Tribolium castaneum: one gene and its partners. The protein of the gene in region 3 interacts with the protein of the main gene of each other region in a pairwise test. Links are inferred from orthologs where the notes say so. Each region holds a gene or a part of one and is shown on either strand. Other genes may lie near its edges. The genes, in order: nej, cos and ci.

Region 1 (11,252 bases), on a different chromosome or scaffold from region 3:
CTTTCATCTGTTCCAATTTCCCCTTGATACTATTCGGAGGCGGCGAAGGCGACTCTTCGTCGCGATCATGTGCCGCCGTAATCGCCGCCATCTGAGACGACATCGACGACTGTCTTGGTGCATTTTGAGCCGCTCGTTCTGCACTCGACATGCCTTTACCCAGACTGGCTGCGGTGGCGGGTGAAGATTGCACGGGGGTGGCAGGTGCTGGTGACGGCCCCCGCGACGAACTCACCGATTTGGGGCCGGCAGCGTGCGGCGTCATTACTGTTTCCGAATTTGGCGTTATTCGAGTCGCATTTAAATTATTATTGACTTGGTTTTGATTTTGAATTTGAGATTGAAGACCAAAAGCGGAGGGTGAAGGTGCGAGACGATTTTTCATCAAGTCGTTAAACTGATTTTGAGTCGAGCTCGCTGGTGATGCTTGAGGAAGGCTCACAGGTCCGTTTGAAGTACCGAACTGGTTACCTGCTGACGTAGACGCGTTACTGTTTTGTGACATTGGTTGGCCGAATGGCGATAATCCCGGATTTGAGGCAGTGGGACTCGGGCCTGGAAGTCCCACGACATTGCTTTGATTTTGGTTTTGTTGTACTGGGAATAAGCGACCTCCGGCTTGGTTCAGTGTGGCCATGTTACCTAATGCGGGAGAACCGCTACGTAATCCTGGTTGTTGGCCTTGTGGTAAACCTCCAGGAACCCCAGGTGGTCTCGTGACGACTCCGGGAACGGCTCCTTGCAAATTTGGTCGTATTTGTGGAGGTTGTGTGTGCTGTTGTTGTAGTTGTAGTTCCTTTCTTTTTTGTCGCTTCTCTTCCAACTCTTTTTGAATTTTGTAAATCTTTTCGGCGAGAAGGTGATAGTACTCAGATCTCGAGTTTGCCATTTCGTACATATCACCTTCGACTTTCCGCGCATAGGCTACTAAATTATGCATTCTCTTATCGAGCATCGCTTGTGGATCGGGTGTTGGAAAAATCGCTTGTACTAATTTATGCACCAGATGGTTTCTGAGATCGGGTGTGACCGACTGGTGCCATTCTTTGGTCCCTTGAACTGGTGATGCGGTCACCTGACCGGCTTGTAACCCTCCCGGTGCAATGAGTCCTTGTCCAGTGCCGTCGTTTGAAAGACCGAAAATCGAAATGCTTTGTTGGAGATTCGCGGCGACTTGACTCACTCCTTGGTTGGTATTTTGTGCCGAATCGCTACCGAGAGGTAGACTAACGTTGGGGGCGGGTTGGACAGCGCCGGGGGCCATCCCTCTGACTCCCAGACCAGCGGCCATATTGGGACCGCCGGCGATGGGTAATCGGATGCAAGGGCGTTGCGGGCCAGCGTTGGGAATGAGACCCGTGGGGGCGGTACCTGCCCCCGTCGTCGGACACTGCATGCCTAGAGCATCGTAGGCACGACGCATGTCCGATGGGTTAATCGACTGAGTACTCTGAGGCGGATTAGTCGTTGCTGTAACACCGAAATTAATTTCGGGCCCTAGTGAAGTACGTGTGGACTTACCGTTAGGGTTATTATTTCGGTTTTTATCGGCTTGTTTCAATGGTAAACAAACCGGGCAGTCCATTTTCGTACAGTGCTTCCAGTGACTTATAATCTGTCTCGAGGAACTACAATGCGCCACGGAACAACTTTTTCCCGCATTACACGTCGTCATATGATTTAAAACGTTTTTCATCGTTTTACAATGCGGTAAATTACACTGCCACACTTCACCGTTGGCTTGCGCCTCTCGTCTTTGACACTTATGTGCGTGTAGTAACAACACTAATTGTTGTTGGATCAACTTTCGTTTTTCTGGGTCTGCTAGATAAAGTAATATGAAGAATAACGTAAGACAGCGCATGCACTAACTACACATCGAGATCAAAGCGACACTTACCCGTCGAAGACGGTGGCGGTCCCGCTCCCTGGTTTTGGGTGGCGGTTTGCGGTCCGGGTTGCGTTCCGGATGGAGCTCCGGATTGGGGTTGGGCAGGTGAGGGTGCAGGCAATTGAGTTGGTGCCATTCCACCTTCGCCGCCTCCGGCCGGTCCGACGGGACCTCCAGGTCCCCCGAACCTCGTTTGAGGAAGTCCTAATTTATTAGCGTGAGGTTGCGGTGTGGCAACACCTTGAGGTCCGGCATTGGGATATGAATAAGGAGTATTTCCAGGCATTCCTTGGCCCACAGCGCCGCCCAATTGCATCATACCCGGGGCTTGCATCCGGGTACCGAGTGGATGGACGCCGTGGGGGCCTGGAGCGCGCGCGTTCAAATGTTGCATTGTGACGCGGCCCAGCATCGGACCATTTTGCATTGGCTACGAAAACAATAAATTTCAGAAACATTCCCATACGTACAGTGTGTATAAGAAAAAAATGTACGAAACGATTCGACCCTTTTTCGTATGTTTTAGACGAAAAAAGAAAAAAATCGTCACAATATGCTCTGGCAAGGTAAAGATTAAATTAAAAAACCATTGATTGGTTTTCAAACCCTGAACCCTTGCCACTTTATTAAAAATAGCAGTTTTTTTTATATTACCTGTTGAGGTACTGTATGGTTCCCGGGATGATGTGGTTGTCCCGGTGCCAACATATTCGTCGCATTTGCCAACGGTTTATTCACCGTACTACTAACAACCAACCCACCTCCAGCCATTCCCGCCATAGTACTCATACTACTATTCGTCATAATCATATTACCACCGGCACTATTATTCATCCCTGAAACAAAACCACCGTTAAAAAGCCCATCACACCAGAAAACTGCCGCACATTTTGTACCTTGAATTGAACTCATAATTTGTGGTGACGTTCCATTATTAGCCATTGACTGTAATCCACCACTATTCGAAATACTCGACGCCAAACTCCCCAAATTCATTTGATCCACGACATTACCTTTCGCCACCGAAACGTTGGGTGGCGATTGTAAATTAGGACTTTTGTTGCCTAATTGTCCCCCGGCCATTGCCAGTGCGTTACTTATTAAACCTTTATTGCTCTGGAGCATATTGAGCTGAAGTTGGCGTAAATTGTTACTGTTGTCACCGCTGTCGATCCCATTTTGCATCCCTGTTCCGGGACCGGGACCATGAGGCGGCGGTTTGCTGTTTCCCATGTTGTCGGAGATCGGCCACGACGTCGGCGTTATCAACTCGTCAGGAAGGTCGTTCTCCAGATCGAACATATCCATGTTCGAAAGAACATCTAACACAAAAACATTCAAAAAATTATAAACAAATAACGGACTGGCAGGCAACACGAAATGTACTTTTTCTGCTTAAATTTTCTCACAAAAAAATGTTTACGAAACGGCTGTTACCCTAGTGGAAAAAGTACACTCCAAAAACAAAAAATGTTATACACAAGAAATAACAAGAAAACTTAAGAACACAATTTCATTTAAAAATATTGATCCAATCTAGCTTGGAAAGTGTTTTTCCCAAACCTGACAAAATTGAACAAGATTCGAAAACAGTGGTTTTGATTAAAAAAAGCATAAATCAAAGTCATATCCCTAGTTATTAGAAAAAAAATGTTAGCAAGAATAAATTTCTTAATTTTCTTTTTTCCTAAAAAGAACGTTTACGGCTTGGCTACTTGAAAATAAAATCAAAGGAATTTGCTCATGTAACTATGTGATTTAATAAAAAGTTTTCGATGAAATCAAACCACAAAAATCAAATGAGATCAAACTCATCAGAAACTTATTAAAGTGTTGCATACATTGTTAAATTCACTTAAAAAAACACTAGAAAATATTTACAAAACAACTTTTCTAAAAAAACATGAATTGCAGTTTTGGAAAAATTAAATTAATTAATATGTTTACCACAAAGTGCCTTTTTAGGATAATATCAAAAAATGAAGTATGTGTGTGATTTGATAGTTTTAAGAATGAAATCATAAAAAGCAAATGAGACTGCATTTGCAACAAACTCAAAACGCTTGTTAAATAAAAGTTAAATTTAATAAAAAAAGATCTTTAGAAAAAATTTACAAATCAACATTTGTTCTAAAAAAAAAACGCTATTAACTTCAGAGAGAGAACATTGGCAATTAGAGTAACTGTTGATATAATTTAGAAACAAGAAAGAAGTATTTAACCAATTATTAATATCTTTGTAAGCACTAAAGTCTAAATAAACACTGAACATATTAAATGTCAAAATACGAAACTTTCATATAGTAATTTTAAAATTACCACAAGTAGCCCTAAATAAACTGAAACTTATGTTAGATGTAAGAAATGTTCAAGGACATGAACCACTTGTCTCAATATAAACAAAAAATCCACGTTTTGGGGACGCCGCTCAGCTGTTTTTTTTCTTCAGTTACAATCAAATCCTGATAACAATTATCAGATTGCGTAATTGTAGCTTTCGTAATAAAGCAGAAGAGTTTTTTCTACGGCATTTTGTTGTAATCTCGCACTAAAACCAAATCACTGTTAGTTAATAGAGAAGCAGCGCCAAAACAAGCCACAAAACGAAAACACAAAGTGAGTGCATTTTGAGTAAAATCTTGTTTGTTTTCGTTAGAGTTAGTCGGTTTTTCGAGGTATTTGAGTATTTACTTTGATTGTGGCTCATGTTCCACTGGTGCTGGTCGTGTTCGTGTCCACCACCCCCCATGGCCGGGCCGTAGTAAGCTTTAAGTTACGATTAAAATTAATAAAAGTGTGTGTGTCGTTAGGTGTGCGGTTATCTGCCGGTGTCCGGCGTGTCATGCATGCGCCCGTGTCTGGGGGCGGCTCACCTGAGGAGTCTGAGGGCCCCTGGAAGGGGTCCAGCTTCTGCCGTTTGGCGTTCGGGGGTCCGTCGACGAGATGGTCAGCCATGGTCAGTAAAAGCGTGACTATTCGCGCGTAAAACACATGATCAGGTCCTTTGACTCAAGGCACATTGTCAACAGTCAACCATCGGCCATCTTCAACTGCACTCCGCTTCTACCTCTCACCATCTTCCGTCGGAGGCGCACAATGTTCTCGGCCGTAATCACTCCGCACTTTTCCGCACTTTTTTCACAAACATCGGCGCGCTCGCACCACTACATCAGCGTCCCCGCCGAAAACCCACCAAAAAACAACCCTTTGATTTACATACAAACCGACGATTTGCGGAATTCATCCGAAATTCAACGCGTTCTCAAACAGGCAAAATGGCGGCTGTTGATGAAACTTTTTCTACGCTTGTCAGAATTGTTCCATCTAATCCGAACTAATCGCGCGGCTATTGGCCCAGAGCGGGCACGTGACGCCGATCGCCCTCCTCATTGGCGCAAACCTCCCGGAAAACACGATGTGACGCAGCGCTCGTGACGTCACCCGAACACAGCCGAACGCTGAACCTTGACGCTCACAATGCGCTCCAACAACTAAAATCGCGCACGATTCCAAAACCTCAACTCAAAATGCACCTCAAAAATTCGGAATAAATGGAGCGAAAGTTTGAGGGACGCTGCGGCGTCCCGACGCCGCCTCACTAGAAGGAACGCTGGACGCAACAATGGATGATGGAGGGCTCTATTTGATACTTATTGGTCAGAAGAACATAAATTCGAATAAAGAACGATATACACACAAACAAAGAGCGGGTACCCAGAAGTAGGGCATTGTGAAAAATCTTGGGAAAAATCCGATCTGGAATAAGCAAATTTTATCGATTTATTTGCAGATTATTTTTATCAGCCAAATTGGGTTTATCTAAATTGTAATAAAATAAAAAAAATTCGCACAACTTTTATTAAAGAAAGCGCATCGTGACAAAAAGCGATATTATTTTCTCAACTTTATTACCCAAATGAAATTCGTAGATATAATGTGGATGTTAAAGATTTTTGGGTTTAGTTTTACTGAAAATATTTTTTCAGACACACACCATTGGGTCGTGGTTCAAATCCCACTGGGAAACACTTTTTTTTTCATAATATAAAATTAAATAATTTCTATTCTTTGTCGCATTGTTTGTATATTTCTACCACTTATTATTTTCCACATTTTTATAGCAATTTGGTTCGGTTACTGATGACAAATGAACAAGCTGAGAAACATTTTTGGATTCTGAAATATTGGTACAAAAAAATTTTTTATTAGGTGCTCGATACAACTATTTGCCGGAAGAAAAAAATTTATTTAGATGTTGTCAAGTCCGATAAGGTTTCCAAAATAATACATAAAAATATTTCAAAAAGCTTAGGATTTTAAGCGCCACAAGCACTTTTACTCATAGTCTGAGTCTCTTAAGAGTAGTCTTACCCTTGGAAGTGATTTCAAATCTGGCATCTCAAAAACTAATAACATTTTAAATAGTAATCACACATCCAGGAGTATTTATAGTGCTTTTATTTTCACTATTCATGGGGATTTTTTCAGAATTTTTCTTCAATTCTTTTATACTAAATTAAAATTAATATTAAATTAATATTAAGCGCACTTAATAATTGCTAATTGCTCTTCTAATTCAGAAATGAACGGCGAAGATTATTTATGTTGTTTCATGTAAAAATTACGTAAAAAAATTGCCGCTAGGCTCAAAAAAATATTAAACAGTAAGTTTATTCTCACATTTTGCAGATCGCATTATTTATCGTAATAAAATTTCAAATTCACGAGTTATTTGAGTTTTGTAACACAAATGGCAAATACATTTAATATAACACGAAGAATTATAAGTTATAACTGATAACTAATTAGACTAATTTGAATTAAGTTGTCATTTACTTGAGAAAGATCTAATTAAACACGAATAAATTTGATTACAAAAGAATGCGAGCTACACAACGATTTTTTTTAGGCTAGGGGCAATTTTTTTATATAATTCTTGCATAGTACAACATTTTATCATAGTTTGTTTTGTTTTACCTCATGTCTATGATGAATAAAGTTCACTATTGATATTTCGATCCACAAGAAGCTATATTGACTTCGAGGCAATATATTTTGAACGAAATTCCTCGAAATAGTCGCGCTTTTAGTAAAACAACAGTTAAAAAAGCAAAAATATTGAAATTCTTAACTCAAAAGTCAGTTACTTTTCATTCGTTCTGCGGTTCAAGAAAGCAATAATAACACCACTTGCGATATAATTCTATGATTTTTCGGCGTATTTTTGCTTACATTTAGCAAAACAATTGCGTTTCTGATTATTTTTGACTGAAGAACACATGCTAAAATGCTTGAAAATATAATTTTTAGCTAATAGTACCGTTGTGTTTCGCCAAAAAAGGGTTTAGAAGTGTTTCAATGCTCGAAAAAGGTACATAAGTATAGCACCATTTTCTATTTCTACCCAACTCAAAGATTTTTAAGCAATTTTGTGTCAAAATGCAAGAAGAGAGCTCTATATCCCATTTCAGGTCGTAGTAGTTTAGAAAACTAATTTACGTTTAATATGAAAATAGGTACATTTGTAGGATAAGGGTAATTTTTTTAGGTGTAGATTTAATTTATTTTTTTGGAAATATGCGTCGTTCTTTTATTTTTTATAACGACTTGAGCTTATTTGAATTCTCTCAGTTTTGATTTTTATACCGAGACGAATTGGTACCTAAATTAAAGTCGTTGGATGATTATTCTGCAGAAATGCTAATGGGAACACAATAAAAATCTGACTGATTATCCAAAAACTTTATTAACCGCAACAATCGCGAATAACATGTTCCAAAATTCTCTCGTGTTCGCGATACATGTTCGCGTTACGTTGGCAACATGCGCACACTTTCCTCCACGATGAAAAACCCCAGTTTCGCCCATCATGGAGCCCACAACCCAGCCCCAAGCCCCCGAATGGACCTGTCCCGAAGTCTTGCGCCTTATCAGAGAATTTGGCAAACGGCCAGCCCTTTGGGACCCCGATTGCGACGACTACAAGAACAGGTCCCGGAAACACGCAAAGTGGCTCGAACTAGCGAACATTTTCAACTGCAGCAGGCTCGAGGTCGAACGCAAGATGAAAATTCTCAACTCGCAGTATCGAAGGGAAAGATTCAAAGCCATCCAAATGAAGAAAGCTGGGAAGTTCCACGTAACTACGTGGTACGGGTACAAGGAATTTTCTTTCATGAACAAGCTATTGGAGAGGTATAAGAACAAGAGCGAACAGTCCAATGAAAGTAATGCTATGCCTAATATTAAACGAGTATGGGTCCAGATTTGGTTTACGAATATGTGATTGTTTTGTTTTAGGAAATAGGCGAAGAGGTGTTGGAAGACGAAGAAAGTGAAAACGGAGAAGTGACAGAATCACCATGTTTTGTTGATGTTTCAGAAGTAGAAAAAAATAAGTGTGAAACACAGAATTTTAAAGACGAGTGGTCGCTTTTTGGCGAATTAGTTGCACACGTATTTAGGAAATTACCGGATGATAGGACAAGATGCATAGTTAGACATAAGATAAATACGGTTCTGTATGAGGCGGAGTTGGCGACTTATGGCAATGGAATAAATTAAAATTCCTATTAAAAGAGATATTTCATTTTTAAATCTTACATAAAGTAGGCGTTAACATGTATAATTTCTTCAAAAACTCTTCATACATACAATTATATACACACACCATAATTATGTAGCTGGTCATAAAAGAAAGGTACATTTCAAATGTTACAAAGTACGGTCCTGTGTTACCTAAGTACTGGTGTTTCGTTAAGAAAATAGACATTTGAAACGTGCCGTATATTAAAAACTGTAGCCCCTAAAATAAAAAGTGCCACATGTTACCAACTAAAGCCACACTGAAGTTGGTAACGTGTGTTGTAACCTTGACCCACTTGTGGCACTCGCTAAATCTTAAAATTACCCAACACAAAAATAAAATACGTCATTTGCAGTGTTGTTACAATATTGCGAATTTATTGGCGGAAAAGGGACCGTAATTTATGACGAGACTTAAAATTAGAAAATGCACAAACTGGAATCGAATCGTTACCACTTTAGCGTTACATAAAAATTTGAAAAGAAGCTCACATAAGTAACAATTACCGGAAATGCATCACACGAACCATCCTTAAAAAATATGTTAAAAAAGCCAACAAGATCATATAAAACGAAGATATTTTTTTACACTAGAAGAGCAGTCTTTCAGCCTCAAATTCAATCATCTTTGCTTTTATCGCCCGCGCCCGTTGGGGTCTCATCTTCTTCATCATCAGAGTAGTTCGTGGGCTGCTCGCCTGGCTTCAGTAGCTTCCCAACGAGGTCGTATTTCTCTGCAATGAGTTGCGTTATTCGTTATCTCCATGGCCGGCAATTTACCTTTGAACTGCGCCTCCCATTCCCGGACCGAATCCATTTCCATGCTGTTAAGGTCGCTCAAATCGTCGTACTCGTCGGTTTTTGCCGAGACTGAGAAGGTGGCGAGCCCCCTGGAGGCGTCGCGGCCGCCGAACGCCGCATAAGGGCCCCCTGAACCAAAAGTGTGACATCATCATGATGGCCGCTGGGAAGTACTCACCGGGGCCGTAAAAACGCTTCCCTTTTGTAACGTCGTAGACGTTGCCGTTGACGGCCACGAGGACGCGTCCATCCTCTTGGTTTCCGTCGTATTTTTTCAGTTCTTCAACGGTAAAGTCTCTTTTTTTCAATTTGGGGAGCTCCGGCTCGGGTTGGCGACTCTGAGGCACATCTTGTCGGCTTTTCACTATTTTGTACACTAGAATTCCGATCAGACACACTAAAAGAATGTTTACGGGACTTTGGACGATTTCCAAGACAATATTTGTAAGAAAACCGCCGGATTTTGCTTCGCTTTCCGCCATCTTGACCAACTATCTGACTTGATTTGACAACTTCATAGTCATTTTTTCACCGGTGTGGTGGCAGCACCACCGTCAAAACATGACCCGAGGTCAGGGTCAACACAAATTACGCCACAAAAATTGCTAATTTTTTTTATTCCTGATAAAAACAATAAACCAGGCTTTGGCAGGTCAGGGGGTTAATTATTTCGCCATATAGACGATTTTTGGTCCTAAATTTATCTTATGACTTCATTTTCGACGGTGGTTTTCGATCGTGATCGATTTTTTTTTCAAATTCCCTCAATACATAATGTTCCATTAAACCTTTGAAACTGTTGGAAAAGATCCAAAAATTACAACGTTTAAAGTTCTCGGAAACTACTTGTACTCACTAATTATTACATCAAATCCAGAATTCTAAACAACCAGATTTTTTTAGATTTCTGACACCACTTGCTTTGTCAGTATTCGGTATCCTGGTCTGACTAAACAATATATTTCAACATTTTTGTTGTTTTTTTGTCAGCATTTACATTTTTTATCACTTCTTGGTTTAATTTTATGAATTACCCGGTAAGCAATATTGTTTTTAGTATATTCCTGGTTGCATAAGCAAACTATTTTATTCAAATTTGTACAGATGGCGCTAAAGTATTTTTTCGCAATGATAATGGCAGAAGGTCGAGCTGTTATTGTTGTTCCAATTTTTTGTTACTCATCGACGCTAATGTTCTGGGTGTTGATGTGTCTGAAAACTATTGTATAAAAACTTTCTGGATCAAGATTAATGTGGACGTATCTGTGATATTTCTTGTAGGATTATAAGGTAGGTTGCATTCTGTAGCTTACAGCTTTATTGGTTATGTTGTGATCAGGGGTTCTGGGGCGAAGGTGATTGTTGTCATTCAGAGAATTTGTAGAAATCAATGTTGCAACCGTTGCTTATCTATTTTTATTGTATTTGTTGATAGCACATACACATTGGTTGATAAAAATACTACAGCATTACATTTGGTTCATTTTATGTGCTGAAGAGTAGTATTATGAGTAATATCCGCCTTGTTTTTTTTAAATACATTTAAAAGCAATTATTAATTGTCAGGTCTACGACATCTATAAATTATCTAGTTTTACCAAAAAAAAAAATATTTTTGTCAGAAACCAAGCATATTACTAATAAATTTAGCTTAATCACCCACCCACTTCTAACTACTTAATAGTCAAATATTGTACATGATTCGTCAGTAAACACATTTCGATATCAGTACTAAACAAATATTTACACTCACATTGTATAAATAATTTAAAAATATTTAACTAAGTGAAAAACAGAACTGTGAAAAGCACATGTGCTTTTGTATGAGATTTTTTTTATCGTTTAAAATTGCTTTAAAAGAAAAATATTAAACTCACTTATTTTATTTTCGATACGAATAAAGAAAAAAGAAAGACAAAATAAAGTGATACAAAATTGACCATTTATAATGTGAAAGTGAGTTTGAACTATTGCA
Region 2 (11,252 bases), on a different chromosome or scaffold from region 3:
ACCCGAAAAACCCAGAGTTGAGCCGAAAAGATTCGTCAAAATTGGGAGACCCGGCTACCGAGTAACGAAACAAAGAGACCCTGAGACAGGCCAACAAAGTCTACTCTTCCAAATTGATTATCCGGAAATCACCGATAATGTGATTCCTCGGCATCGATTCATGTCGGCTTATGAACAGAAAATTGAGCCCCCGGACCGCAAATGGCAGTATTTGCTTTTCGCAGCGGAACCCTACGAGACAATTGCGTTCAAAGTGCCGAGTCGGGAGGTTGAGAAGACGGATAATAAGTTCTGGACGCATTGGAATATCGATACAAAGCAGTTTTTCCTCCAGTTTGCGTTCAAGAATGAGGCGAAGAAACCGACCACGATTATTGCAAGGCCTGGGGGTATGATGGGTGGAGTGCCGCCGCCACCGATGATCCCGGTGCCGCCACCACCGAGACCCCCGATGTTTAACGCCATTCCGCCGCCGCCGCCGCTGATGGGGGCGGTTCTGCCGGTGCCACCGCCACCTCATTAACAAAATTGATTTTTTTAAGCTGAACTAAATAACACTGTATTTCATTATTTCAAAAAAGTTAATAAACATTAAACTGGTCCCAAACGAATGGAGTATTTATTTATTGTCTTTCTTTCTCGGAGAAGTGACTGAGAAGAGGGAAAGATCAACTGCTAATATTATTTAATCAACGAAAAAAACGATTTTTTGCGTGTTTTTGTAAAATATTTAAGCCCATGTAATAACGATCTGAGGCTACATTCTCTTAAAATCGTGGTTCAACTGGTTCAACTGTGGAAGAAAAATTCTGAGTTTGATCGTTTTAATATGTCCGGTGTCCCGAATAGTTAATTTTCAAGGCTATGGCAAGATTTACGTATAATTAAATATTCTGACCTTTTTAATTATTACTAGTATCATCTGTGGTATGATGGTGTATCATACAAAGTAAACTTGAGCCTTATTATTTTTGTATTACGACATATTATTATTAGGATCATCCATACGTCCAGTCTTGTTCAAGACCCTCTGTCAAGCCATACTTAACCTCTACCATATCTATTTTTTTTTGTCAATGAAAATGTTGAAAACGGGTGCACACCGGCCTTGTTTTGCCTTAATTCGGCACTTTAAGGGTATGACTGCCCCTTTGCTATGTTAGTTCGCCGTGTTACTTAATTTCCTTTTAGCTTTGCGCCGCCTTTCGACAGCAGCCCCAGAACCCAGCGAGCAGACCCGCCAGAAATACGAAGCCGCCCGCAAAAGCGTAACCGACCTTCGCCGTATCTACCCCGAGTTCCTCCCAGACCCCAAAATCGAATTCCGAAACCCGATCCGTGAAAAACTTGAACGCAGTGATATGATTGCTAGACGTGCAAATATTGAAATTCCTGAATTTTATGTAGGGTCTATCCTTGCCGTGACGTTATCGGACCCCCACACCCCCGGTAAATTCAACCGATTTGTGGGGATTTGTATCAAAAGAGAAGGTTGTGGCTTGAGATCCACTTTTATCCTTCGGAATGTAATAGACCATCAAGGGATTGAGATTTTGTACGAGCTGTACGATCCTACAATTAAGAGTATCGAGGTTTTGCGGCTTGAGAAACGACTTGATGGGGAGTTGTTGTATTTGAGGGACGCGTTGCCCGAATATAGCACTTTTGATCCCAATATGGAGGTGGAGATTTTGCCTGAAGGGGCCCCAGTGCCGGTCAACGATATTAAAGTTAAGTTGAAGCCCCGGCCCTGGGTGGACCGCTGGGAGAGGAAGCATCTGAAAGGGGTGCAGGATTTGGAGCTGCCACAGCGGTTCTATGATAAGGCAAAGGAGGTGGATACACCGTGGGAGAAATACGATTTAATGAAACAATACATGTAAGTTTTTTTTGTGTGTTTCATTGTTAAAGATGTATCTTCCCAGGAGGACTATTCCAGAGGAAGAGCAACATGAAATTTTCTCAGAATTGCAAACTCACTTGCACAAATCTGGTGTTACCCAGAAGGTGAAGAGGAAGAGGACTTTTGTCAAACCAACCAAGTTAGCATAAATTTGTTTATTAAGTCAAGAAAGCCATTTTATAGCAACAAATTATATACAATACAAACAATTAAATAACATTCATGTGCTAAGTATGTACAGACTTAATATAAATCACTGAAGTTTTATAAAATCCAGTCATTGCGTTATGTCGTACACAATACATAACAAAAGATAATAACTATGCTAATACTGAAGACTCTTTGAAATGTGTTTGCCAATTAGATTAGTAATAAATAGGCCGGCCATCAATAGGAAAATAAACTGAAACGATTTCAAGACGACCAATTTGAAATTCCGTAATACTTTCAAACTCAATTGTTATTCCATAAAAAAGTTATCGTTAGCGGTTTTTGTTTTAACCATCTTGTAATCATGTCAGTTCAATTTAAGACCGACCTCAACACCCTCACACTCCTTTCACTCGTGGCACATTTACTGCATCTTTGAGACCTCAAACCTCGTACTGACTAGTTCTTCGTCCGAATCTAAAATCGGCAGTGCTGGATCACTTTTGATATTTTCCTCCAACCATTTCAAATCATCATCCACCGAATTGCTCCTCGGTGAGGCCCCCTTGGGGTGGTGTATCCTGACTTTGACCCCGTAGGCATCATTGACCAACTGCTCCTCCTCCTCGTCCTCCCCCGTGTCCAAAAGCGGCACAAAGGCGTACCTCTGATTATTATTCGTGGGTCTCCACAAAATCATAATCACGAGCAACAAAGCCGAGAAGAGAATGTGCCAGAAGGCCTCCTCCAACCAGAGATTTTTCCACACGACTAAACATTGAACTATGCGATGCGTCTTAATCGAATACAACATGAAGCAAATTGAGGCGATAACAGCGAAGATTAGAGTGTTGGTAAAGTGGCGGTAGAGACTCAGCTTGATTTCGTTGCGTCTCAAGCGGAGAGTCCTTGTCGTGTTGACCAAAGCGCTGAAAATCCACCAACAAATCGCCGAATCTAACACTGCAAGTGGAACCGAAGCGACCAACAAATCGCGACTTTGGTCATTTTTCGGCCGCATTATCCTCAAGTACGCCTCAGACGCCGCTAGGAAAAAATACAAGAAGCCCACCCCAACAACCCGATGCAAAGTTGAGCCTAGTCTAGGTTTAACAATCCCGAAACCTAGACTTACAATCACGACCAACATTCGGGCCAGCGTGCGCTTGGCACAGGAGACCCACTCGGCAAAAAGCATAGCCCCCTGGACGCGCATCCCTGTGTTATTAATGCTCTGATATTCGGCGTAAAAAGTCGCCTTTTCCAACATCCCCAACAGGATAACTCCCCCGATCCAGAACTGGACTCTGAGCAAATCCCGCCATTGCAGAAACGACAGAATGAGCCAGATGACCCCCAAAATCACGTAGAAAATGCACATGAAGCCGTAGAAAGGCAAAAGGGGCCAATCGGCGGCCGAGAGATACCCGTAATCGCTCTTCATTTCGACGTGGACCCCCACGGTCAAGTCGGAGGTGTTCAAGGGGGCGCTCATTTGGAACACGAGGACGTAGACGCCGTCGTGGGGTATCTCGTAGATGGGGGGCCGCGAGTGGTCTTTGGTGAGGGGGGCGCTGTCGATGACGACGTGGTCGGGGCACGTGTACGCACGCGTGAAGCGGTACAAGGACGAGGAGTTGGCCCCCGGTGCCGGTGATTTGATCAGCTGCAATTTTGTATGAGTACAAAAACCGTTTTTATTAACTTACTTCGGTGGCCTCGCTTATCGTGTTGCTGTAGTCCCAGCATGGCGACGGCACTATCACCACTTTTATGTTGATTTCAAGCTCGCGGATGTGGGTGTCACAATTGACTAAAAATTTGCGAATTTATTTAAAAAATACAGAAAGTTCTGGCGGTTACTTTTAATGAAGATTTGCGCCCCTTTGTATAGACTTTTGGTGAGGATTAGGCCATTGTCGTCCTGTAAAATCAGGTGTGACGTTTGAGGGGTTCCTGTGGGATGTCAGGGACTTACCACGGTCAGGTTAGAGTCCCACTTGCCCTCATCCGGGAGGCAGGTGATCAAAGAAGTGCATATTAGAATGCATGCCAACGAAAACCATTTTTTAAACATTGCAATTTCCCGATTTTCCGCAAGATAACCTGCACAATAAATCAACAATAAACTGTCGCCAACTCAAGTAACCTTGACACGAAAATCACCAAAACAAACACGTATTTTTCTGCAGTATTGATTATTAAATTTAAATGGCAATTACCAAAACGTGAATAAATTTAAATTTCGAACTCCCCTTTCGTTCACCCCTTTCGCAGCTCCTTTTCAATCACAACCGTACAATTTCGCCAACATGCGTGATTCACGCAGCTAAAGTTGCTAGCGCAAAACCTAGTAACGAAAGTTACTAAATTTTTCAAAATTTGTTTGGCATAATTTTATTAGAAAAATCATCGTGATGAAAGTCATTTCAGCACTTTTTCTTGTCTTTTGCCTAAATTTCGGACACGCATACTACTTCCCGATATGCTCCGAGACAAGTGAGTCGGTTATGCGTAACAATCCATAACTGCGGTATTTTTAGGTAAAAACGAGAAAACCTGCACCCGTTACTTTACTTTTCCGAGGTTTACTATCTCGACTGGAGAAAATATAGCCGCTGAAAGCGTTAAACAACCACCACAATCGCTTAGGCAATTTCTTGACCAGACTTTTGATACGTACGTTGGGCCTTTTGTGGCTTTCTATGTGCATCATGTAAGCCCCGTTTTGAACCACATGGGGATTGCCATGGATCAGGTTTATAAATTAGTGACGGAAAACTTGCCTGAAATAAGCGACGAATATTACATAGCACAATATTTGCCGTTTGTCAAAGTGAAAAAGGTAAATTGTCTTTTATTGAGAAATAAAGTAAAGTATTCAATCGTAGGCTAAAGCTGATAGCAGACTCTACTTCTTGTTCATTCTGGCGAGTCTCTGCATTTATTTGGTAATTAATAGATTGACGAGTCATTACTGTTTTTATGAACCACAAATATTTTTTCCAGATTTTGTATGTTTACTTTAGTAGAAAACTCTATTTTTATTACCAATATGCGATCAGGAGGGAATATTTATGTAACGTACAAAAGATCTTCAAAGTAAAGGAATAATTTTTCTGTTTAATAATCGGCAATTACGCAAATCACATTCCATAGTCTCCAGATAGCGACCATTTGTAACGTTTACATTTACATCTTGTAACAGAAAAATTTAAATAAAGGTTTTGTTGTTTTTTTATCTTTATTTATAATCAAAATCAAAAAAAAGTGGACCACATAACCTCAAATTTGTTGGAGGTAACCGCTAAAGAATTTAAGTTCTCCAGTTTATACTATGAATAATTTATTGAGGGTCACACGTAGGGCTCTTCAATGCCGTTTCTTGCACCAGACGCCCAAATCATTCGGGAACAACCTCTACGAGCCCGATTATCTCGAGGTAACCAAATATAACCTCTTAAAGTTACCCAAAAAACATTTTTTAGGCCATGAAATCGAATCTTCCAATGTACGACACTTTAAATATTCAAATTCGTGGCTACGATTATGCCATATTGGAAAATTATCAAAAGTTTATTCATAAATTATTGCGAAGTATGGATATAAGTGTGGAGGAAGCTTGGGCAACCCCCCATCAAGACATTCAAGTCACGACCTATAAACCGAAGAGTGAAATTATCAACACACAGTACAATTTGAAGCACTATGATCGGACAGTACAAATTACTGATGTTTTATCAACTCAGGTATTTAATTTTTCAAAGTGAAATGCTTGAAACTGGCACGTATTTGCAGTTGCCTGTTATTTTACGTGCACTGGAGGCTAGTACCCCATCGGGGATCACCGTCCACGTGCGGCCTCATGAAGAGTGGGACGAGGAGATTAGATACGTGCCTGACACGGAGTTGAAACAATTGAAACAGGAACTGGACGACTTAGGGGGGCCTTTGAAGAAGAAATAAAAATGTTAATTCATAAATAGTCTAATAAAAATGATTAATTAACTCGTTTGCCGCTTTTATTTAAATCCTCCATTTTGTTCCCTCCTAGTGCTAAACCCAAACTCCCCAGTTGTGTTGTTTGAGGCAGCTGTAAAATGCATTTAAAATCCATTGATTTTTAATAAATTAACCCAAACCGCCGCAACCGCCAGGTACTTCGCCCCCATTATGTAATTCCCACCACTATCCAGCCCCCAACTCAATTGTAAATTTTAGGTTATACAATGGGTTGAATTCTCCCAGGATGGAGATGCACATAGAAACGGCGGTCCGCATCCATACGTCGGGCTACTCCCCCAACGACATGGTTTGCGTGCACTCCAACCCCGTCAACAACACCATCCAACTCGCGAATTCGCAAAACTACCCCGTCAATTACGCCCTTCCAGCCGACTGTTGCCAAAACACGGTGTTCACAACCACGGCAGCCCCTTTGGTGAATTATTTGGTGGAAGGGTGCGATGTTTCGGTGGTCACGCTGGGCCAGTCCGGGACTGGAAAGTCCTACACGCTCCTAGGCCCAGGTTTCCACTGTGCGGCTAGCGAGGCTGATCACGGGATTATCCCGCGGTTTATTCGCGAAGTTTTCGCCAAAATGAAACAATACAGAGACAGGAATTGGTGCGTGCATATCGCTTGGTCGCAGATTTGTGGCGAAAACGTCCAGGATTTGCTAGGCGTTGGGAGCATCGAGTGCCGGAATATCAGTGACGTGTTTCAGTTGATTCAAGTCGGAATGTCGAATATAGCCCCCAAGTGCGCCCACACGTTGTTCACACTCACTTTGGAGCAGCAGTGGGTGGTGGAGACAAGTGTGCAACATCGCGTCTCAACTGCGAGTTTTGCCGATTTGGCAGGGACTGAGAAAGTTCTAGTTTATGACAGCAACGGGATGATGCAAACGATTCCCACTGATTTAGGGATACAGACTTTACAGAGGTGTATTATGTCGCTGTCTGATTTTAACTGCAGTTTTGTGCCGTACACTCAATCCGTTTTGACGACACTACTGAAAGACTCGTTCGGGGGGCGCGCAAAGACACTTCTGATCTGTTGCGTGTCCCCCCTTGCTCAAGACTTCACCGAGACTTTGTATACACTTCAGTTGGGTTTGAGGGCTCAAATGATCAAAAATTTCGTCACTGTTAACTCATACGCTACGTTTGAGTCAACACAAGAGAATTGTGATGTTTTCGGCCTACAGTTCGCCGCCAATCAACTCCTGAAACTTGTCTCGAACGCTGAAGAGTTGTTCCAACGATTGGTAGCGAACGACTTGTTACCAAAAAGCGAACAAGAACAAATATCACAGTGGTTGATGCTCAAACAAGAATGCGAAGACTGTTTGAGTGAAAATTCAGAGCCTCATAGATCACTCGAGCGGATTGAGGAGGAAATTGAGAGTGATAGTAGTGAGAGCGAGGCGATTGAGGAGGAGGAGAAGGAGAGTCTCCTTGATAGGGTTCAAGGTTTGATGGAGACTTTTCGCTCAAACACCGATAAATTAGTCTCTGAGGCTAATTGTGCAAACGTTACGAATTCTTGTACCAAAGAAAGTATGAATAGCTCGAATAATGAGTATCATATGAAGGGGGCACGGGGGCGCAGAGGGAGTATCCACTCGGCTGAAGAACTAAACCCTTGCTTGTCCCTCAATACGTTACGTATTAATGACGATGTCGAGAGTCAAAAAATCGCAGTTACGTCGTACGATAACAAGAAGAAAATCCTTAAACAAATCGCCACTGCGTTAGAATTGAATCAAAAAAAGATCTCTGATTTGGAAAAAACAATTCGGGTCAAGGAAAACCTCATGGAAAAGCTCCTGAAGCACAAAGACACAAAATCGAGTGCTCACCATAAAATCGAACAAAAATGCCAGTTGTTACGCAAGGAGTATAAAAACGCCGAGGTCAAGTTCTTGCAAGCGAAATTACAAAAAAATCACCACTTGGAAGGGAAATACAAGAGCGAAGTTGTGGCCCTTGAGGAGCGACTGCGAGACACCGAATCGTTGAAAAACCTGACCGAAGACGGGAACAAATTGCTAGAATTAGAAAGTAGTCTACATACAGATCGGGAGAAGTTGAAAAAGTACAAACAAGAGAAAGAAAAGTATAAACAAATCTACGAGAAACAGCTGAAGGAGGAGCGCTCTAAGTCGAAAGCGAGTTGCGAGAGCGTGCCGAAAACCCCCGATGTTAAAGTCGTTGCTTTAATTAAACCAAACGTTTCGCTAAATAGCGAAGAACTTGAAAGTCTGAGACACGAAATTCGCAACTTGCGCAAAACCCGCGACTATTTATTAGAATTGCGGTGCAAAATCACGCTCAAATCCCAGAATAAAAAATTCCTGAACGACTCCGACGAACGCAAGTTGCTGCAGTACGAGGAGGCTATTGAGGCAATAGACTTGATCATAGAATACAAAAACTCGATTTTGTGTGGGCACCTGCCAGTCAAAGAGATTGAGGATCATGGCGATCGGATGCTGATGGAGCGGTTCCTCAAACTGAGTGAGAACGAAATGAGGATCCTCCTTCATAGATATTTCGAGAAGATTATCGATTTGAGGAGCAGCAGCAAAAAGCTCGATTTGGAGATTTTGGATATTGAAAACCAACACGAAAATCTCGCATATCGTGTGCAAAAACTCAGTCATAACTTACAACTGGTTAGGTCTGACGCTGAACGGAGGATAGCCTCGCTCCAGCAACAACACGAAGACAAGTTGTACTTGGTCTTGAGGAACCTGACGGGAGATGGGGCTGATAATGAGAGGATAAGTCGGGTCTTGGGGTCGAGACATTCCGCAGTGACGGTTCAAGTGGCAGGCGCCAGTAAACAAGTGGACAAGAATAGGTTCATAGCGAAGTGGACGCGATACCGCCAGGAGACCGTTCCGAGACAGCTGCAATCGGTGCCCCCACAGGCCAAGGTCACCATTGAGAAAAACAAAATCATTCTGCAGAAAACCAACAAGAACTAATTGTAATTTATTGTAGGCTAGGGTAGGACAATAATGATGTAATCGTGGTTTATCAAATAAATGTGATGACTTCAGTTTTGCGTTTTTTTTTTTCATTTTTGCCCAAGAAGTAAAAGGAATTTGGCGCGCAAGCGTGGCTTTTGAGTGATCATGTACTGGTATTAACTATGAGTTAATTCAAAACGCTGCAAAACTTTCCATTAGTTAATTATTATTGCGTTTTGCCTTGAATACGTCATGCGGGTGAATGGTTTATTTGTATTTCGTGGGCACGGGCGAGCGTGGGGTGGTGATCGGCTCCGGCGGTTAGCCGTCAGCTGAGCCGCCGTCTTGCAACCCTCCGAACGTAAAAACCCCATTTTGCGACAACCGGCCTGTCATATACAACATGGCAGAAGTAGTTTCGTGTAGCAATGTGATGGTGAAAAATCGTGTTTGGTGTTGTTCCCCTTGGTGATAAAAGTGTGTTGTGTGCGGGTCGGGATTGAGCAAACGCCATGGCGGATTTGACGAAACCGCCCCTGAGTGACATCAAGCACCCCGAAGAGGTGGTGCGAATGGCAATGAACGATAGTCTCAAGTTCGCCGTTTTAATCGGACTGATTGAAGTGGGACAGGTGTCCAACCGGGAGGTGGTCAACACTGTTCTGCAGCTGGTAAGTCGTGGGGGCGGTTTGGTGGCGGCGCCGGGGCTAGAGTAAACAAAACCCTGATGAGGGTTGGCGGGGACGAAACGTTGTTGTTTTGCAACATGCATGAGGTGGGCGTGACGAGGATACAACGTGGAATTGAATGCTTTCGATAGTGCAGGTACCTGTTATCAAACAAGGTTTACACGGACACCAGTTTTGCTTTTTTGATTGATTGCTCGATTAGGGAAATGTACCCTCGTCAACCAACACTTTAGGGGTTTTTGCCAAGTCTGGCATTATCTGTTTCGTGGGGTATTTACCTAATCCATAGTATCTCCTTTTTGGTTAATCTTGACTAAAGTAAGGGTTTTATTGGCAACAAATGGACCCTAGAATAGTAAACGAATGATTTAGGATTTCATTATTGGCTACCTGTGGCCATAAGACTATTATTAAGCCCGTGGAACAAATTATTTGGTTTTTATGTTTGTGTTTGTTTTCTCGTAAGTTCAGTGACTTTCATTGCTGAGCATTTTTTTTAATTTTGGGTTTAAAGAATTACAGTGGACTTTTTTTAAGCCGAACGTGGTCGGGATTATCTAAAGTTCGGTTTGAACATAATAAGACTTTTTTACTTTTTGACCTAACTTTTTAACCTACGGATAATAAACTTTCCTGTTACTATAATTATTTGGATTTTAATTTTCTCGTTCTTTGTCAAATTGGATTTTAACATTTTATTGCTTATTTATTTATGACACATTAAATTCTTATCTGTTTGCCACAATTAAATGGGTATTATTACTGTAAAAATGTAACAAGGTTTAGTTTGTTCGTTTGGTCTGAATTATTTATTTGTAATTATTTGGGTTTTTATTTTTTGGTTCTTTGGCAAAAATTAAGTAAAATTGGATTTTAACATTTTATGACTCATTAAAATCTTATCTGTTTGCCACAATTAAATGGGTCTTTTACTGTAAAAATGTAACGAGGTTTAGTTGTTTTTCTATAAATTGGGCATGGGGTATCATAGTCTGTCGATTGTCATGGCCAGCATCTGTTTTTGTTGGCTAACAGTAGACCAGTTTAATTTTTTGGTGTTTTACGCTTCATTGGATTATCTGAATGCCGAAAATACAAAGAAATTAAAGGTTAAAATGAAAGGTTTCATTTCAAGCGTATTTTTATAAATTAACCGTTTACCGCTTCAATTAGAACGAAAGCAAGTGAATAATTTACTTTTGAAGTTTATAAAGGTAAATTCCAGAAAATGGTGTATTAGAGATAAGGTGAACAAGCAGGTTTACTTTGATAAGCGGGAAATGAAACAACAAATTACTGTTAGATAAATATTTATTTAATTTTTGGTGGTCAAAATGGGGTGATCCAAAAACGAAAACGACATTTTTTGATCACTTGCATTAAATTTTTAGTGGTTAGTTGGGGAAGGTGGGTTAAAGTGGTGCTGTGTGTATTGTTTTGTGGGGTCGTTTCGGTTTGATTAACTAGAATTTCTCTTTATTTCTTCACATACCTAAAGATTAATAAATGTTTACAACCCAAACAGTGTATC
Region 3 (11,213 bases):
ATCATCCATTTTACAATTAATTAGTCAAAAAAGTTGTACTTGTGGGGACTTCAGAGTGCATGAATTGCAACACACGTTAATTTTTTCGTGCCATTCAGCTCCAGCATTCAAATGCCTTCTTTGTTCCTCCGGCAATAAAACAAGCACTTCTCGTGTCTCATCTGTATTACAAAAGTTAATTGCGTTTATTGTGGTGGTTAAAAAGTCTTCCTTCTTTTAATAGAATGTAAAATTTTGATTAACAATAATTGAGTTAGTGGCAGTAATGAAGTCATCTTCACAGCCTTTCGCTGAATAAAGTACCAAGCTAGATGGAATGAAGCTGGTCCTATGGAATTTGGATGCAGGTTCTTTCACTCCACTGCCCGCTGCGTCGTCTGCCATCTTGCTTCATCCTGCGTTACAGAGGTCATCCGCAGCGTTTCTTTCCTCGTCGAATATGGTAGTTTGGGCTTTGTCCGCGACTGGACCGACTGCTCCAACAATCTTTCTATTTACTTTATCGCTCGAGAAGAAACTGAATACTCCTACGATTCCAAATCTGGTTCTGGTTTGAATACAATTAAATAACACCCAGATTATTGCCTCTCTTATCCATCTATATTTTCATTTCGTGTTCGAGTGTGTCCGCTGTGAGGTTTTCGGTCTTGTGGAACGGCCGATTTTGTGCCGGTCGTGCCGGACTTATTATTACATCAGCACTTTTCAAGGAAATTCTTGTAATGCTTTTGTAAACATTTAAATTAGGATTTATGAAAAACTCATCGCTGAACCACAGGATGGCTTTTACGTTTTTTCATGTTCTCGAGCAAATATCGGATCTGGATTGGAATTATACGGAAATTACATCACCGACCTCAGCTCCACCAATTGAGATATTCCCAATTCTGCATGCTGTTTTTGCTTGACCTGGACATAAATATTCGAATTGGCATCTCGTTGATTTCATTATACTCAAGGACTCTCGCGGAATTTTTTCTAGCTTTGAAAAAGTGGACAAAAGCTTGAAATTCTTCTTTCCGACACATTCCCAAGTGTAAATTACAAAAGCGAAAACTATTTTTCCGTTTAAGGACTATCACCTAGTTAGAATCTCGATGGGTCCGGGAAAATTGATACATCAATAAATTAACAAGTCAGGACAATTAAAATTTTAATTACAATGTAGGCAAATATTTACGAGCGGCCGGGGGCTCTATAAAATATTTCTATCTAGAAAAGCTCAAAAATAAACATGCAGAGACGTCCGAATGTAAATTAACACATTAAAATCGGGGATCGAAAGAGCAGGTTTGGGGAATTTTGTCATGATAGGTATTTTATATTTCAACCAGATGTTTGTAAAGACGCCTTGTTATTATTTCGAGCACAAAAAACACTAATTTAGTAAAATTATAAGCGGTACCCCAAAGTGTTGGAGCGGGTCTAACTTGTTTCGTCTCACTCTTCTTCAATTAGAACAGGGCATCTTTCGCAGTCTACAGCATTAATGAAGTTAGTAGAGGCCTTCTCGATCCGCCAGCGGCGGAGAGCCCAATTTCACACGCAAGGTGGATTCTTCGCCACAAATTTCACAATGACTTCTCCTAATCTGACGATTCTTGAAGAAATTGTAAAAAATTTGGTCGTTTTCCTTGTTTTAATGAAATTCTAAAATTCTTATATTTTTTTAAATGCTAAGTACAGATACTTTCACATAATTTTACGAGACATGCGTCTGCAGAATGCTGTCAATATTCCAATACGAACTCGATTACATATTTTTCAAAATTGAAAAGGCTTCTTTTAGTTTGTCCACATTTTCAAAAAATTTGCAACGTTTTTAGTTGGTAATTTAGTAGATTAGAATTATACTTATTACATTAATTTTGATGTAAACCCGACTTTAAACCACCTCTAAACACAAATTTTGACCTTTGTCATAACTTCAATTTTTTCAAATTTTCTTGTAGCTTTTCATTTAATTATCTTTGTTTTTATTAGATATTTTATTAGTAGAGTACAGCTGTACTCTCTGTTTCAAAACCACGGAAATGCCAACGCATTTTACCAAATTATTTTTTAAATAAGGTTGATAAAAATGTAAAATAGTTATTGCTGATTATTATATTTCTCATTGAAACTATAAAAAAACTTCAATAATCCGAAGTTTTTGATAACTGGAATGAATGTGAAATGACTACGAAATCCTAACAGTATTTATTATATGAAACTCGAATTTCTTGATATCCAAATCTTTTTGACATACCCTTTTAATAAGTTGTACTATTTCTTCTATCCTTTATACTAGGTAAGGTATGACGACAATTTTTGTACTTACTTTTGCGCTTACCTAAGACACAGTCATCGTTTTTCTTAGAATAGCATCAGAAATAAAACAAATATTTTTGTAGCTTATGTACTATGTAGTGTCAAATATTACTTTTTTATTTTCGTTGAAAAATATTTTGATAATTTTTCTTATACTGGCTTATTAAAACATACTTATTCTATATAAACTTACCATTTGCTTTTTATTTTTGTTATTTTTGATAGGTCGCACTAATTTTCAGTAACTCGAACTATGTAGGTTCGAGTTAGGAGGTTCGACTGTATTTAGCTAATTGGGCTTTTTAGTCGTCTAGCGGAAATTTATTAATTTTGTACCTAACGGCATTTATTTGACAAAATCGTACATAGTTTTCAAAAATTATCAAATAAAATTTAAAAAACCTGCAACAAAAGGAAAATCGGCTATTTTTTTTAAGTTTGAAGGGAATTTTGACTATGAGTACTACGAGTAATAGTCATAATTATCTATACATATTTGATTTTTGTCTTTATGTTTGTTGTATCCTTTATGACAAAATTTGTATTCCATTTAAGTGGAGATTTACGTAAAGACTGAGTTTATATTGTTTTCATTGAACATCTTGTAATTCACAACATTATGAATGGCTTGAATGGAAATGTGCTTTATCTAGTAGGAATATTCATAGTAAAGGTATTGAAATGCAGACGTTATTCTCAAACACGTTAAATAAATGTGTTTGTTTACCTCATATACTTGTAAATAGAAAAAATTACATTGTTTGATTCATTTCTCATGTAGGTATACCTCGGTTCTTTTTTATCGCTTTGATGGCAACGTCACAAAGACGTTTTATGAGGTGAAATTGGTCACAAACATTTGATTTACGTTGGAAAGAAGAATGTTATAATTGGATTCTACTAACAAATTTAGAGCAAATGATGAGCTCCACTGTTTCATAAACAAAAAGAATTATAAAACTCGATTCAATGACCATAGAAATCTACACATTTGTGAAAAAAATCCTTGGACAATCGAATTTGTTCTTGTTTCCGTTCATCATACCTATGATTCTTTGATTTCATATCTAAGAGATGAGGGTCCAAGGTTTGACATTATCAACATTTTTTTAAATGAGATACATAATCCTCTTTTTGAAGCCATAAATGAAAAGTTCGCATTTTTTACGCTTTTGTAGTAATTTACTGGAGACAATGGGAACAAAAGGGGTAGGTTTTATAGGTAGACGTTTCAGTATGTTATTTTTTTCAAATTTTAAGTAAATTTGCGAATTTTTTTTGAACAATTACAAATGGAAAGGATGTTTTATTTGATGAGTTCTGTTACTTGTTAAAATTAATACATGTATTTCTGATACACTCTGTATTTATAAAAAGCATAAGCGTGTATGCTCCGGTTTTAGGCAAAAAATGTCCACGTGTCCAATTCTTTTCATACAATTTTTGCACTATTTACACTATTTACACTATACAAATTTGATTACAGGTATAGTTTGCCGTATTTGTGCCTACACTTTGTTAACTTAACGAATTGTTAAAACACATGAGTATATAAAAACTACCTACATGATATTACATTTCATTCAGAATCCACTTAGCACAATTGTGTATTTGATGTTTGTTTTTCTTTTCAGCTAAAATATGTTACATGTTTATTTACAGACTGTTACAAAACGTAAAGTAGCACATTTTTACTTTTATTAACTACACACTACTACTATGTTTTCCTTATTTCATTTCTCGTACAGCAAAAACTTTCATTATCTCAGAAATGAAAAGCGATATAACTATGAAATCGTAGCGAGTGAGAAGCCTAGAAAATGGAAGGTTTATTGATATAAATGGAGGCTCCTAATTCGCTGCTACGCCACTGAGTAAATAAGAGAGTACAGAATGTGAGTCCATTCCCTCGCAGTCGGTCTGGGTTGGCCCCTCCCCGGGCTCCCTTCTTCCACACTCGTTAGTTGAGTTGTAAGGCCTGCCTGTCAACTACTCGCCTGCCTCTACTCTAGTTAGTTGTCCGTAGTCTATAGGCTGGTTGTGTTGTACTATACCTATTAGCAAATAAAGCATGTGCCTTACGCATCACCAGCAAGTGCCTCCGCGACGATGCCTCTCCTATTATTAGCCGCTCCGAATTGCCCTAAGTGCCTGGATTAAGTGTCTAGACTGGATAATACCCGCACCGATTCAAGCCCAATTACCGCCCCATAAAAATAAATTCAAATCGCGATGCTCCGGCGCGGAAAACCGCGAACTCGTGTGCCGCAGCCTTTAATTGAGACATATCCAATTAGCTAAGAAATTGCTAGATGACAGCGCTGATGACCGGTAGCGCGTTTTTGTGACAATCAGTTGTGACACAATTTAGTGATGTGACTAGTGCGATATGCCCGAAAAGGAGGCGGATTTTCAAGCCGCTATGTCTGCTGGTCTACCGTTACAGTTCCCGTCGGCTTTTGCGGCTTTCCACGCGCCTCTTCCCGTTGACCAACGCACGCACGAAGGACGATACGTCTGGGACCCCAGGATGCAGCCGCCAGGAGCGCCCTTCCACCATCCCACGCCGCCAGGGTGAGTCCAGCACGCTGACAGTGCTGCTCAACACTTGCGGAACGGCAATTGAGCAAAAACCTATATCTATATCAAGTCATATACACTGAACTCTTTTCTAAATCGTACTGAAGAAGAAGCAAACTTGTTGCTTTTAATTTTTGCATTCCATAACATTTAAAAAAGTTTGTTACGTATAGAGGTCATCTTCACTTAACAATTTGAGTTAAATTTTTATCACCGAAACGTAAAGATAAACTCATTATTAATGGCTGGGAACGTGAAACCAACTCGACAACGGGAAGTGGTCGTCCGAAAATAATGTATAACTGTTCTGGTCATTGTCGGAGATGACGCTATTGGTTTTTAACGGCATTTGACTACGTTTTTATCTCAAAAACTGGTCAACATAAATTTGAATAAAAACAAAGAAACATAAAGAGCGAATTGATTTAAAAAGCAATTCTAGAGAGAAGAGGATTCTCTAGGTATCACTGTTACTACAACTGTAATAAAAAAGATATTTTTGACTCGGTCCACTTTTATTACCCTCATGATGTTCCAAGCGTTTTAAACAGTGAGACAAGCTAAAAGGTAACTACTTGTTAGCAGCAGTGCTACTTTTCTCTAAGTAGCAACTTCCAAATGGTGCTTAATTATTGAAGAAAGGAAGATTTGAAAGAATAGAAGATTTTGATTAAAATTATATTCATATTCAAATTCGCAAAAGGTGAATTTTTTGAGTAGCCAGTTTCATTCTCTTATTTGTAAAAAAAATATATTTGTTAACATAAAGGCAGGTTCACACCTAGAAAGTAGTAAGTAGAGATCATACTTAAGCATAGATATTTTTAAAAAAAACAGGCTATTCCGTCTAAACCCCACATTAGAAGTTCTAATAATGATACTCATCTAAAAATTTACACACAACCTTAATCCGTTAGGTCCTGATCAATGAAAATATTTTGAACATGGCAGCACTTCCGGTTATACCGGAAGTCGTTATCAACTTTTTTATTTTCAATCGGAAGCTGTACTTATCTATCAGCTTTCCCTATACCTAAATTTACTTGTTTTCGAAATATTTAGGGTTTTTTGAAAATTTTTGGATTTGCTTCTTTGACTTTAAAACTTTATAACTCTGCCGGTTTTAAAAATTGGAAAACTTTTTTGGCTTTGAAAGAGAAGGTATAATAAATGTTTTCTTGGGTGTTTTCTTTTTAAAAAAAGTTAGCAGTAAATTTTTAAGATTAAATTTGCAGAACGTTTTAAACACCTATAACTTAAAATTTTCAAATGAAATCCCACAATTTTTATTTAACTAAATGGTAAACTTTTCTTCCATATTTTGAACATACTGAAGGAACGTACTTTTCTTCTTTGATTATCCAAATACGATTTATAAAACTCAAAAAACGTCAGTGTTATCGATTTTTGAAGTCAAAGATGCAAATCTGAAAATTTTCAAAAATAACTCGTAAATATCTCGAAAACGGATTAATTTAGGTGTAGGGAAGCGGATGAAAAACCTCTTGAAGTAACTCGAGTTATTTAAGAACGCAGTAAAAAACATATCTTTCTATTATGCTATTAAAAATTACTTCTTGGTGTCCTTTCCTTTTTATAAAATCATGGTTCGAGTTGGTGGTGCCTATTTTGGTTGTGAATTTTTCGTTACAATGATGCGTCTGTCCATCAGACAATTTGTTGAGCTGATACAAAAAGTGTCGAATCACGTTCGATGTTGGCTCTTTTGGTTTACGGTTGGATCCTATTTCTTTGTCTATAGACACGTAAATTTGTCATTGTCGGTAATCATCCAGGAAAGGATAATTTATGATTATTGACTTGGAAGTTTGAACTTGCATTGAGAGTGGAGAAAAATTTGACAGTGTTCCAGTTATTATTTAAATTTTTTGAGTGTGATGAAACAAGCCGGTAGTGTTTACGTTGACGCAACAAAGTTTTACGAGTTGCTCCCTCATCCATTAAAGACTTTAAAGCAAGACGTAAATAAACATCTTCTAATGTGGATTTTCTGCAATTTGTAGGATTTATTTAGGGATTTTAGACCGGAACATCCGAAATAACAAACATTTTAACGACATCGTTAAGGTATAGACCCACCGAAAGCCATTCAATCCGTCCCTAACAATCTCTTTTCTCCGAATCGACAGCACGTAACATTGACGCATTGCCTGAAATCCTTAGGATTTCAACAAACTCATGATCTCTTTTGTGCTCACAATCGGACAGGTCTTAAATTTGGGATGATGGTCAGGCTTTATTCATGTCCGACGGACTTTACCTCCGGTAGTCGTCGCCCGATTTGTGCTTTTTTCAATTGTTGTGCAACGTTTGCTCGAAGGTCGCGGGAAATTTTGTAAGGAATGCGATGATCGAAAAACAAAAGTCGTGTCGATGTGACAGCGTCTCATTGTATTGAGATATAAAAAGATTTTCAGCCGAATGATCAAAAGGATGGCTAGCTAAAAGCCGAACAATATTCAGTGATTCGGCACTTTCCAATTACTGTCCTCGCAGACAAGAATCAAACGAATTTTTGACATTCCCACACCAGACTTGCTGATTGTCACCATCCTACACTTTTGTGTGCAAACAAGTGCCACGCATAATTACTCTTGACTATCTTGCCTTAAAACACCTACCAGCCTTAATACTGTGTGCTTGTATTCACTGGTAAATCGATTATGACTGGATGCATTGTTGGTCTTCCGCAGTCTCGCAGACAATGACTTTGGCTTATGTTTCAATTATAATGCCGGCGCAATAAGAAAATCGCGACTTGATATATGGAATAAACTATTCAAACATTTTTACAACTTATTCGCTTTGTTTAATAGTGCTATGATCAGCCTGCCCGCATTGCATTCAAACTCCAACATAGCAGTAGCACCGTGTGAACATAGAGTTATTTTAACTGAGTTTTTATCAGCTTACCCTATACCTAAATTTAGTCGTTTTCCAATAATTACTTTTCTAACAGCGGGCACACTGGACAGTTTTTCAGTGGTGCACAAAATGCTGCTTAGCAATGCTTCATCAATTGTTTCAAAAGGTGACTGCTCAAATATTTTCAATCTTTGGATCGAGTTTTTAACAACAAAACAAAACAAAAATTTTTTCTTTGGATTAGCCGTGGTTAATTTTTTGTGTAGTCAAGTGTTCCAATGGTAATTGGGCTTAATTTTAAATAAAAGAAACGTGTGTTATTACATTTTTTAATTTGAGGTAATTGAAAAACCACCTCTTAAAATATGTGCATTCTAAATTCCATAACAATCCGTTGACAAATAACTGAGATATTAAGCTCGAAAGTCTTAGGTGAGACACGCTGTATAATAAAGTTACCAGTGATTTCAAAATTATTTTGGCAACACCGTATCCAACACGGTTTTAAAATTTTTGTCATGCAAGTGATGGGTGTGAAGCTTTACATGCAGGTGTTTACAAGGAATAAATAGTGTTATCAATTTATTAATTGACTCGAGGTGTATTATTAGTGAAATTACTGTACCGTGTGTATCCTGGATCGCATTAAAGTTGTGCCGAAGCAATTAGGGTGACTGAGCCGGGCTGGATCATTATTTACAATTTAAACTATCATTATGTCGTCTTGTTAGCAACCAAAATAGTGAAATTACGACGTGGGAATGTTTATGCAGCGAGTCCAGATTTGGTGCACGCACCGCGGAGCCGCCATTAAGCGCTCGGTGGTGGAGAAAAAATCAATTGTGTTTGTTGGCGAGCAAGTTGAGGATCATTCCGAACAGGCGTTTCTTTATTTTCTAACGAAAGTGCGATTGATATATAGACATGTCCGAAAGAATGCGGCTGACAATACAAAGCAACGGACATCGTGACAAAAACCAGCCCAATCACGGCCGTTGGAGACGGCAGGAGGGCGAAACTCCGATCAGTGGGTATTGACAGGACAATCCGACTGATAAATGGACACTCTGTATGTTGGTCGGTATGACTGGCAAACAACATCGCCAGACACGCAGCATACACCTGTGGACGAAGCCGTGGTGTCAAAAAGGCTTGCGTAAGAGACGATTTGAGCGAAATAAATTGCTTAGTCAATAACCTTTTGTCCGGAATTGGTCCGAACGTCTTTTTGTCTTGTCTAAGATGAATAATGAGGATGGGAATTGCGCACAATTCGCGACGATTGAAGGCCGATGAAATTGCAGATTAATTTTCGATCGCTACTTGTAAATTAAATTTCTAGATCGGATCAAGTTTTAAATGTAATCGGATTACACATTATAAACTTCTTGTCACGACAACAATAGGAATACGAGACCTGTTCAAAAGCTCCGTCGATATGCTCGTTTTGTTATTGGAAATTATACCAACCTTCCAGTAGCTATTATTCGAGCTGATCTTGTGCGAACTATAATACCAATCGGTTCCGCGAATTCGGTATTGAACCAGTGATTGCTTTCCGAAATTGCACCAATTTCAGCAATGCATTATTTAATTTTTCATTTCACCAGAACATATTTTTGAATTAACACTTCGTGGAAGTATTGGTGGTTGTGTCTCTTCTGTTCTAAGAATATCTAAGATTGATTTACAACACAACTGGCTATTCTGCTTTCAAAAGTATTCTCAAGGGTCTAAAAACACTTTGGCGGAAGTCATTCATCTCATATCACGAACATTGTTTTCAGAAGAACCATCATAAAATTAAGTGTTGCAAAATCATTCCAGTGTCATAAAGTACAAGATAATACATCTCGGGGGAATTTTGGTCAAGTGGGTTACTTATCAGTGGAGGAAAGATTGTCTAATTGGCTAATTTCTCTTAAAAATGAACGATTCGAGTTGAATTCATACAGTTCGAGGAGAAGAATGATTTTATTCACATTTTAGTTATAGGGTATTTGGTCGTTTTAAAATAATCCACAAATGGGCAAAAAAACTGATATTTTTTTTGTTTTTTAGTCTTATTAAAGTTTTATTCTAATCGACTTTTTCTCTGAGATTTAGTTTCGCTGCATCATTTTGCTGATGTTTACAAGCTGATGTGTGGTCTATCGTCCAATATAAATTAATTAAAAAAAAAATGCGACATTTGTTTTGTAACGAAACGTAGTGAAAATGATTAAGTTTTAATATATTTAATAATGCGCTAACCTTTTAGGGTGTTATTAACTATATAGGATTACATTGTCAGGCAGATTACGTAAGTACGCAAAATTTCAATTCATTCGGATAACAGGAACCCTTTTAAATTTGGCTCGGAAAATATGAAACAGACAGACAGACAACTAAGCAAGTTAAATAAATGCTTAAAAAAAGGGAAAAGCGGGTCCTTTATGCACGACCAAAATTTGACAGGCGTTTTTTCAGTTTATAGATCTTATAGTTATATATAGTTTAATGAGTAATTACCAAGAATTTAGAAGACAATTTGGGCCAAAATGTATTGATACACGTTGTTATTTTGGTATCATATGTACCAGAGCATAATTTTTAAAATTTCGCTTTGAAACTCGCAAGAATCCAATCGCTGTAAGAACGTTAATGAAAACATTGATTCATAGTTAATGAAGAAATTTTCAACGGCATGTGGCGTGATGAGATGTCAAAATAAGTGTAAAATAGCTCTCCTAGTTAATATGAGGGTCGTTTGTTACAAAAAGCCAATAATTAGACTTCTAGTACGACTTGCAATTATCTTGAAACAATGTAATATGTAAGATCTACACCTTTAAGGATGGTTATTACGTTAGAGACCGAAGCAGCTGCTTGTTATTAACTAAACTAACGTTAATGATTGGAGGCATTTTTAATTTTCGAGATTGCCTGTGTACGCGTTCGTTGTTTTATGGAAGTTAATAGTGCAGACACCTAGAAGAACCACTGGATTATCACCATATCGCGAAGAGGTTCGGGCAAGACATAAATTTTTTACGACCGTCTTCGGCTGAAAGCGGCCATCGGGCTGACCATTTGCGATAAGACACCGTTTAATTAGCCAAATAGTGGTGCGTGTATCAATGGTTCAATTGGCATAAAACTTGGTGGAGAAGGTTAAAAGCATTCCGATGAAATTTCGGCGAGTATCTTGTGTGCGATGACAGTGGTTGTTATGTGGTCCGAGTTTTTGGTCCGGAATAGCAACGGTGTGTTTATATCGTCTCGGCGCTCATGCCGACATATCACAGACTTGTTCACTTGGGTAAAAACGGGAACAACCGTACAGACCGCGTACACGTTTTGCAAAAGGCAGGTCGTATATTATCTCGGATTGACGTATGGATGTGTGCTCGGCGATTATTTTTGAGAACTACATTCTCGTTGGTATGTCTTTATGC

What was found.
Region 1: the proteins of ci (region 3) and nej interact in a two-hybrid assay, tested with the Drosophila melanogaster proteins (3 studies listed by BioGRID). The link is inferred for Tribolium castaneum from reciprocal best matches to the Drosophila melanogaster genes ci and nej.
Region 2: the proteins of ci (region 3) and cos interact in binary tests that used the Drosophila melanogaster proteins (3 or more experiments, as listed by UniProt). The link is inferred for Tribolium castaneum from reciprocal best matches to the Drosophila melanogaster genes ci and cos.

The regions. Positions count from the first base shown.
Region 1 is NC_087402.1:7,101,697-7,112,948, reverse strand, and holds the start of nej (CREB-binding protein), read right to left. Parts: upstream 5,440-11,252; 5' UTR 4,847-5,439; coding exon 4,765-4,846; intron 4,658-4,764; coding exon 4,583-4,657; intron 3,214-4,582; coding exon 2,779-3,213; intron 2,728-2,778; coding exon 2,546-2,727; intron 2,322-2,545; coding exon 1,901-2,321; intron 1,825-1,900; coding exon 1,522-1,824; intron 1,471-1,521; coding exon 1-1,470. Other genes in the region: uncharacterized protein LOC103312726, read left to right, coding at 7,761-8,144, 8,192-8,455; membrane-associated progesterone receptor component 1, read right to left, coding at 9,095-9,210, 9,257-9,406, 9,456-9,759.
Region 2 is NC_087402.1:2,904,573-2,915,824, reverse strand, and holds cos (kinesin-like protein costa), read left to right. Parts: upstream 1-6,095; 5' UTR 6,096-6,226; coding exon 6,227-6,228; exon of another isoform or gene 6,229-6,274; coding exon 6,275-9,047; 3' UTR 9,048-9,121; downstream 9,122-11,252. Other genes in the region: Sf3a2 (splicing factor 3A subunit 2), read left to right, coding at 1-523; mRpL19 (large ribosomal subunit protein bL19m), read left to right, coding at 1,077-1,137, 1,192-1,879, 1,926-2,052; transmembrane protein 87A, read right to left, coding at 2,478-3,719, 3,763-3,866, 3,917-3,977, 4,032-4,130; uncharacterized protein LOC103312599, read left to right, coding at 4,471-4,552, 4,597-4,898, 4,945-5,004, 5,063-5,167; mRpL48 (large ribosomal subunit protein mL48), read left to right, coding at 5,391-5,495, 5,542-5,802, 5,852-6,019. UniProt on the Drosophila melanogaster protein: Regulates cubitus interruptus (ci) processing by recruiting multiple kinases to promote its efficient phosphorylation.
Region 3 is NC_087394.1:31,426,263-31,437,475, forward strand, and holds the start of ci (transcriptional activator cubitus interruptus), read left to right. Parts: upstream 1-4,251; 5' UTR 4,252-4,699; coding exon 4,700-4,884; intron 4,885-11,213. UniProt on the Drosophila melanogaster protein: Has a dual function as a transcriptional activator and a repressor of the hedgehog (Hh) pathway. The full-length ci form (ciFL), acts as an activator (ciA) while ciR, its C-terminally truncated form, acts as a repressor. Involved in segment polarity.